2 linked regions of the Macaca fascicularis genome follow. The protein of the gene in region 2 interacts with the protein of the main gene of each other region in a pairwise test. Links are inferred from orthologs where the notes say so. Each region holds a gene or a part of one and is shown on either strand. Other genes may lie near its edges.

Region 1 (3,648 bases), on a different chromosome or scaffold from region 2:
CTGTGGGACAAATTATAGGAGCTGGGGAGGCGGGGTCTGGGTCTGAGGCAGTGGGGGTATAGGCTGAGAAAGGTGGGATAAGAGCTTTAACAAAACCTGTTTGAACGTGGTATGGGACTGTAAGGGGTGGAGATCTGACTAGAAACTGGAACAACGGGACTAGAACAGGAAAGCGAAACCTGAACCTGAAATCATTTTTTTTTTTTGAGATAGAGGTTCACTTTGTCACCAGGCTAGAGTGCAATGGTGCGATCTTGGTTCACCGCAACCTCCTCCTCCCAGGTTCAAGCGAGTCTCCTGCCTCAGCCTCCCGAGTAGCTGGGACTACAGGTGGCCACCACTATGCACAGGTAATTTTTTTTGTATTTTTAGTAGAGACGTGGTTTCACCACATTGGCCAGCCTGGTCTTGAACTCCTGACCTCAGGTGATCCACCTGCCTTGGCCTCCCAGAGTGTTGGGATTACAGGTGTGAGCCACTGCACCAGGCTGAAATCATTTTTCATAAAACAAAACAAATGCCCTGCAACTGTATATACATCTGCATAGCTATGTGTACACAGACATGCACACATGTACACAAGTGGTTGAGAAGGACACAGACCGTACTGGTAACATGGAGCTATCTCAGGAGAAGGGATGTGGGGGCGAGTGGGTTGTGGGGGAACTGGGACTTCCATCTTTTTCTATTAAGCCCTTTATTAATGTTCAAATTGTTAACACCTAGCACACTACCCAATTTTTAAAGTATTAAAAAAAAAAAAAACAAAAAACCCAGCTGGGTGTGGTGGCTCACACCTGTAATGCCAGCACTTTGGGAGGCCAAGGAAGGAGGATCACCTAAGGTCAGGAGTTCGAGACCAGCCTGGCCAACATGGTGAAATCTTATCTCTACTAAAAATACAAAAATTAGCTGGGTGTGGTGGCGGGCATCTGTAGTCCCAGCTACTCGGGAAGCTGAGGCAGGAGAATGACATGAACCTGGGAGGCGGAGCTTGCAGTGAGCCGAGACTGTGCCACTGCACTCCAGCCTGGGCGACAGGGCGAGACTCCGTCTCAAAAACAAAACAAAACCAAACCCATGATTTCTAAGTACACAAGCCTCTGACTCCTATCTGTTTTAAGGCCCCCACAAAGCCATGTTCCAATCCAGTGCCTCCCTGAGAGGATCAAGGACTGGGCCCTGCTTTACCTGGCTGGTTTGACCTCTTCCATCTCGGAGAGTTTGGCTTGAATGAGGCACAGCCCTAGAAGAGAAGAAGTGGCCCTGAGCATTCGTGAGGGGAGAGGGCTCCCTCCCTCCTAACCTTCCCCTTTCCCAAGAAGCAGTGCTGGATGGAGAAAGGCCCATGTTTACTCTTCTAGAAATTCCATCTCTGCCCCCATGCCACATCCACCTGAGGACGTCTGGCATCTGCTCTCCCATGACAGGCCAGCATCTGATAAGATCCCTTGGGCAGCATGCTAGACTCAGAGCTAAAGGGACAGCACTCAATGGTGACTCAGTGGTGGCCCAACCCCAGGGGTCTTCCCAGTACACTTCCGAGCAGATCTGGCTCCCCTGCTCCAGCAAAGTAGCTGGGGCTTTGAGGGTGGCTTCCTGGATAAAGACAAGTTGGGTAAGGGTAGAACTCATGGCTGGGCCAACAGGACACTTCTCCAGGGATCTGGTGGTAGATCTGTGTCTGGAACCCAGGTCCTCTGATGTCTGTGTCAGGGTGTCACCCCTAGACCCTACTGCTCTCTGGGCTGTAATGGGCTGAACCAGCCAGACAGATCCCTCAGTTAGGGAGCAGCAGACACCTGAATGAATGGTTAAGAGAACAGACTCTGAACCCAGACAGTGTGGGATGGAAAAGGTTTGTTACTAGTCGAGTTTGTTAAGCTCTAGGCAAGTCTGTGACCCTTTCTGAGCCCCACGTGCCATCAGTAAACTGGAGATCACAACTACACCTTCTTTCCAGGTAAACTGGAGATCACAACTACACCTTCTTTCCAGGTAAACTGGAGATCACAACTACACCTTCTTTCCAGGAGATAATGCTTGGACAGGGGCCATCACAGAGGCGAGGCAGTTGATTAGTCAGTGATGGTGGTTACTCTCTCCTGCATGTTTGGATTAAGTAGGGAGCAGAGGCTAGGGAGGCCCTGGGAGTCTGTGCTGTGGGGCTGTGATGGGGCGCCAGGGGTCCGCACCTGGGAAGACGAAGATGAAGCAGGCGGCCAGGCCTCCAATGACTGAGATCACCTTGCCGATGTCAGGGATGAAGAGCGCCAGCAGCAGGGTGAGCAGGAACCAGACCAGCGTCTGCAGCACTCGCCGCCGCCGCTCCCGCCCCACGTCCTCCTCCACTGGCACCCCCTGGTAGCGCAGCCACAGGCCTTCCACCACCGCCCTGCCCACATGGAGAGGGGCTTAGAGGTGCTCCTGCCGCTAGCAGCCTCCCACCTCTAGCTCACAGGAGCCAGACTCCTAATTGGGTAGACGGCAGGGAAAGCCCCATTCCTGAGCCTCAGTTTCCTCTTCTGTAAAATGGGCCACCAGCACTCTGTTTACCACGGGGACTAGAGATGGTGAATGTGGAGAGCTTAGCACTTTGCTTTACATCACATGGAAACTGATATAGTTTTTTCCTTAAAAGGAACTCTCTGGGGTATGCAAAGGGCAGGGTGTCCACGTGAAAGCTCAGGAAAGGATCTGGATAGAGATTCTTTTGTTTTTTTCTGAGACAGGGTCTGGCTCTCTCACCCAGGCTGGAGTGCGGTGGTGCAATCTTGGCTCACTGCAGCCTTGAACTCCTGGGCTCCAGCCATCCTTCTGCCTCAGCCTCCCAAGTGGCTGAGTAGCTGGGACCACAGGTGCATGCCACCACACCTGGCTATTTATTTTATTTTGTGTAGAGATGGGGGTCTCACTAGGTTGCCCAAGTGGTCTTGAACTCCTGGGCTCAAGTGATCCTTCTGCCTCAGCCTCCAAAAGTGCTGGGATTAGAGACATGAGCCACCGTGCCATGCCCTGGATATTCTTTTTTTTTTTTTGAGACGGAGTCTCGCTCTGTCGCCCAGGCTGGAGTGCAGTGGCGCTATCTCGGCTCACTGCAAGCTCCGCCTCCCGGGTTTACGCCATTCTCCTGCCTCAGCCTCCCGAGTAGCTGGGACTACAGGCGCCCGCCACCTCGCCCGGCTAATTTTTTTGTATTTTTAGTAGAGACGGGGTTTCTTTTTTTTTTTTTTTTTTTTTTTTTTTGAGACGGAGTCTTGCTCTGTCACCCAGGCTGGAGTGCAGTGGCCGGATCTCAGCTCACTGCAAGCTCCGCCTCCTGGGTTTACGCCGTTCTCCTGCCTCAGCCTCCCGAGTAGCTGGGACTATAGGCGCCCGCCACCTCGCCCGGCTAGTTTTTTTGTATTTTTTAGTAGAGACGGGGTTTCACCGTGTTAGCCGGGATCGTCTCTCGATCTCCTGGCCTCGTGATCTGCCCGTCTCGGCCTCCCAAAGTGCTGGGATTACAGGCTTGAGCCACCGCGCCTAGAGACGGGGTTTCATTGTGTTAGCCAGGATGGTCTCGATCTCCTGACCTCGTGATCCGCCCGTCTCGGCCTCCCAAAGTGCTGGGATTACAGGCTTCAGCCACCGCGCCCGGCCGCCCTG
Region 2 (3,748 bases):
AAAGGGAAAAAAAATGGAAAATTAAAGTAGTTCAATTGCCATGAAAAACTATTTAAAGTGTGGCATTTTCTCCTTTTCACCTTTGCAGAATTCATCTAGTTGAAAATACTTGGCTCATGACTGTAATCCCAGCACTTTGGGAGGCCGAGGCGAGTGGATGACCTGAGGTCAGGAGTTCGACACCAGCCTGGCCAACATGGTGAAACCCCGTCTCTACTTAAAACACAAAAATTAGCTAGGTGTGGTGGCGGGCGCCTGTAATCCCAGCTACTCGGGAGGTTGAGGCAGGAGAATCTCTTGAACCCAGGAGGCAGAGGTTGCAGGGAGCCGAGGTCACGACATTGCACTCCATCTGGACAACAAGACCAAAAACTCCATCTCAAAAAAAAAAAAAAAAAAGAAAAAGAAATAAAATATTTCTAAAGTGATGTAAATATTGTTTACAAGTCTGTAAAGTACTGACTGAAAACCCGTGTAGTACAAATGTATACAGAAGTGTTGGATTGTAAAGAAGTGACCAGAGTGGAGGCTGACTAAAGAAACTCTTCAGGTGAGTTAAAAATAATAAAAACCCTTAATAGATCCAAAGAGTTGGGTTGTACCACCACCCAAAATTAAGAAAACGCCCCCGCCCCCCTTTTTTTTTTTAGACAGACCAAGACTCTGCTTCCCAGGCTTAAGTGCAGTGTTGCCATCATGGCTCACTGCACCCCCAACCTCCCAGGCCCAAGAGATCCTCCCACCTCAGCCTCCTCAGTAGCTGAAAATGGCCTTGGTGGCTCCTCTCTCCTTAAGATCTTAGGATTTGTACCAACTCATCAGTAGTTTTACAATTTGTACAGTACCTGTACATCTCATTTCATCCTCACACCAACCCTACCAGGCAAGGATCATTGGCCTCATTTAACAAGATGAAGATGAAGATACTCCTAGTTTTGCTGAGTAGTTGAAGACTGCTCAGCTGAAAAACTAATAGTGCCAGTGCTTAAACCCTCATCTCTAACACCAAAGCCTAAGCTCTTCCTGTTAACAGTACATAAAATTCAAACCCAAATCACAAAATTGCTGGAAAAAAAAAAAAAACCTAAAATTTCTTTAACCCACCAACTACACAGAGGATGATCTTCCTAAGTTCTCTTCCTTACAATTCATCACATCTTTTGAATGGTATTTTAATAACTAGCATTCTATTTATTTTCTATTCTTGGTCCATTGTACCACCTTACGAAAAGTTAAGAGTAATCTAAAATTTAAGGTAGGTCTCTAAACTATCAACAAAACACTATTAATGTACCTAAAATGAAAACTTGTGAATTCCAGAGCTAAAAGATTCAAACAAAAGTTAATAGAAAAGGAAGTGCACCAATCTGACCATTAGCCAATTTAAAAATTTACGCATTACTTGTTATACATAATCAGGGCAACTTTAAGACGCCATTCCAGGCAGATTTGGGGTAGTAGGCGGCTGGCTTTTAGCTAACGCTGCTTAGCTGCGGGGTAAATGTCAAAGGTCAGCCCCATGGCAAATCTCCCTAAGCCCCCTGTCGCAACAGAAGCAGATGGAATCAAGATAAAGATACCCAGTGGCTAGAATCGTGAAGAAAACGCTAATCCATGTCAAATGCACATAAGGAAATTTTTCCATGCAGAGACCAGACAGGGGAAAAGGGGAAGGTGGAAGGAGAAAATACAGGGTTCGACCCGGGCCATCGGACGACAACCGAGCGCTGACTTGGGTGTAAGCCCCGGACTAGGGGCCTGTAGACCAGGTTCGAGCGCTCACACTCGCTAACTGCGGAGCCTTGGCCAGCCTCAGTCCCCGAGTCTATAAAACAAGGATAATGATCAAGAGGTCCCACCCGCCTCACCGAGGGCTGTGAGGCTCTTTTGAGACAGAGGACATGGAGCCGTTTCGTAAACCGGAGGGCACGGTACAGACAAGAAGCTGTTATCCGGCCCAGCAGCTGCGAGACCCCCGAGCGGAATGCAGGTGGACCCCAGGCCAAAGAGGACAGCAGGGGACTGAGCAAATCCGGCCGACTCGGCCCGTCCCCGCCCAGAATCAGCCGGCGGCCCCACAGAACCGCCTGCGTGTCACTTCCCCGCCCCCAACCCCGCCAGGGCCAGCCTCCGCTCCGACCTCCCCGCCTTCCGTCCCAGCCCCTCGAGCTCCAACTACCCTCCCCGACGCGGCCCTCAGACTCACGGCCTGAGGGGCTCCTCGGGCAAAACGGCGACAGGCTCCGACCCTCCCTCAGAGCACACTAACCAGCAACACCCGGGACCGCCAGCTACTCGCCGGATGTACGTCACATCCCTCCCCGGGACTTCCGGGCGCGTAATTGGCCCCGCCCCCTCGCAGCGTTACGCCTCTCTGCCCCGGTGCCTGCCCACCTGCTACTCCGGCCGCGGAGGGGCGGGCATAAGGCCTGACAAAGCGCGCGCCACGTCCCGCCAGCTCCCGCCTGCCGAGCTGACCGCGCGAGACGTGGCAGTACCGGGACGCTGGGTCTGGGTCTGGGTCCTGGAGTCCCTGAGCGGCCTGGGACCCTCGGAATCGCGGCTTCCCATTCCAGACGCACCAGGAAAAAAGTAGGAAGTGGGGACCGACGGTGGCATAGGTCCTGGGAAAGATTACTTGACCTTGGGGACCTCCACTTGAGGTGGATCCCTCCAAGCTTTTGCTTTTTTTTTCTTGCTTTTTTTTTTTTTTTTTTTTTTGAAACGGAGTCTCACTTTGTCACCCAGGCTGGAGTGCAGTGGCGCGATGTCGGCTCACTGCAACCTCCACCTCCCGAATTCAAGCGATTCTGATGCGTCCGCCTCCCGAGTAGCTGGGATTACAGGCGCATGTCACCACACCCGGCTAATTTTTTGTATTTTTGTAGAGACGGGGTTTCACCGTGTTGGCCAGGCTAGTCTCGAACTCCTGACCTTAAGTGATATGCCGGCCTCGGCCTTCCAAAGTGCTGGAATGAGAGGCGTGGGCCACCGCACCCTAATGCTTTTGCTTTGAGTTGCACTTCCTTGCCCTGGGATGGCCTACGTTTTAGAAAAACAGCTAATATTTATTGTGCACTTATGTTTCAGGCAGAGCACTGGGTGATTTGCGCGCTTTGTCTAATTTCACCCTCATTGGAGTCCTGTGAAGCAGATGCTAGGATTATCCTTATTAACAAATGAGAGAGCAATGTTCAGAATAACCTACCACACCCAAGTTCACACAGCTAAGTGGCAAAGCAACGTGTTCACCCCAGTATATTTCGCATGCATTTTCTCATTTAATTCTCAGGACAGTGATACGAGATTGGTACTATTATTGCTCTCATTTTACAAATGAAACAGTCTAATGGAAAGATGAATGACGTCTGTGGATTCATGATCTCAATTCTCCTTAAGTAAAATTTAAATTTAACATAATCCCAATAAAAGTACTAATAGGATTAATAGATTGTGTGTGGTTTAGTTTTTTTGTTTTTTTTTTTAATTACCCTATTTGTTCCTAAAATTCGTGTAGAAAACCAAACAAGGCTAGTCCAGAAACAGGCTCTCAAAATGAAGAACCAGGAGGTGGGAACTAACCCTGTTGGATATTAAAACATATTATAGAGCTGGTGTGCACACACACACAGAAACACACACACACAAAACACAATGGAACAGAGAAAAGCACAGAAATAGACTAAAGTACATGCAGAAATAAAACTAAAGTAGCACCTGGCACTCCAGCAATAATCAGGGAGCTGAG

Evidence for each region.
Region 1: the proteins of SAR1A (region 2) and SLC38A7 interact in binary tests that used the Homo sapiens proteins (3 or more experiments, as listed by UniProt). The link is inferred for Macaca fascicularis from reciprocal best matches to the Homo sapiens genes SAR1A and SLC38A7.

What each region holds. Positions count from the first base shown.
Region 1 is NC_088394.1:54,780,616-54,784,263, forward strand, and holds part of SLC38A7 (sodium-coupled neutral amino acid transporter 7), read right to left. Parts: intron 2,396-3,648; coding exon 2,196-2,395; intron 1,247-2,195; coding exon 1,192-1,246; intron 1-1,191. UniProt on the Homo sapiens protein: Symporter that selectively cotransports sodium ions and amino acids, such as L-glutamine and L-asparagine from the lysosome into the cytoplasm and may participates in mTORC1 activation. The transport activity requires an acidic lysosomal lumen.
Region 2 is NC_088383.1:76,255,048-76,258,795, reverse strand, and holds the start of SAR1A (small COPII coat GTPase SAR1A), read right to left. Parts: upstream 2,309-3,748; 5' UTR 2,270-2,308; exon of another isoform or gene 2,207-2,269; intron 1-2,206. UniProt on the Homo sapiens protein: Small GTPase that cycles between an active GTP-bound and an inactive GDP-bound state and mainly functions in vesicle-mediated endoplasmic reticulum (ER) to Golgi transport.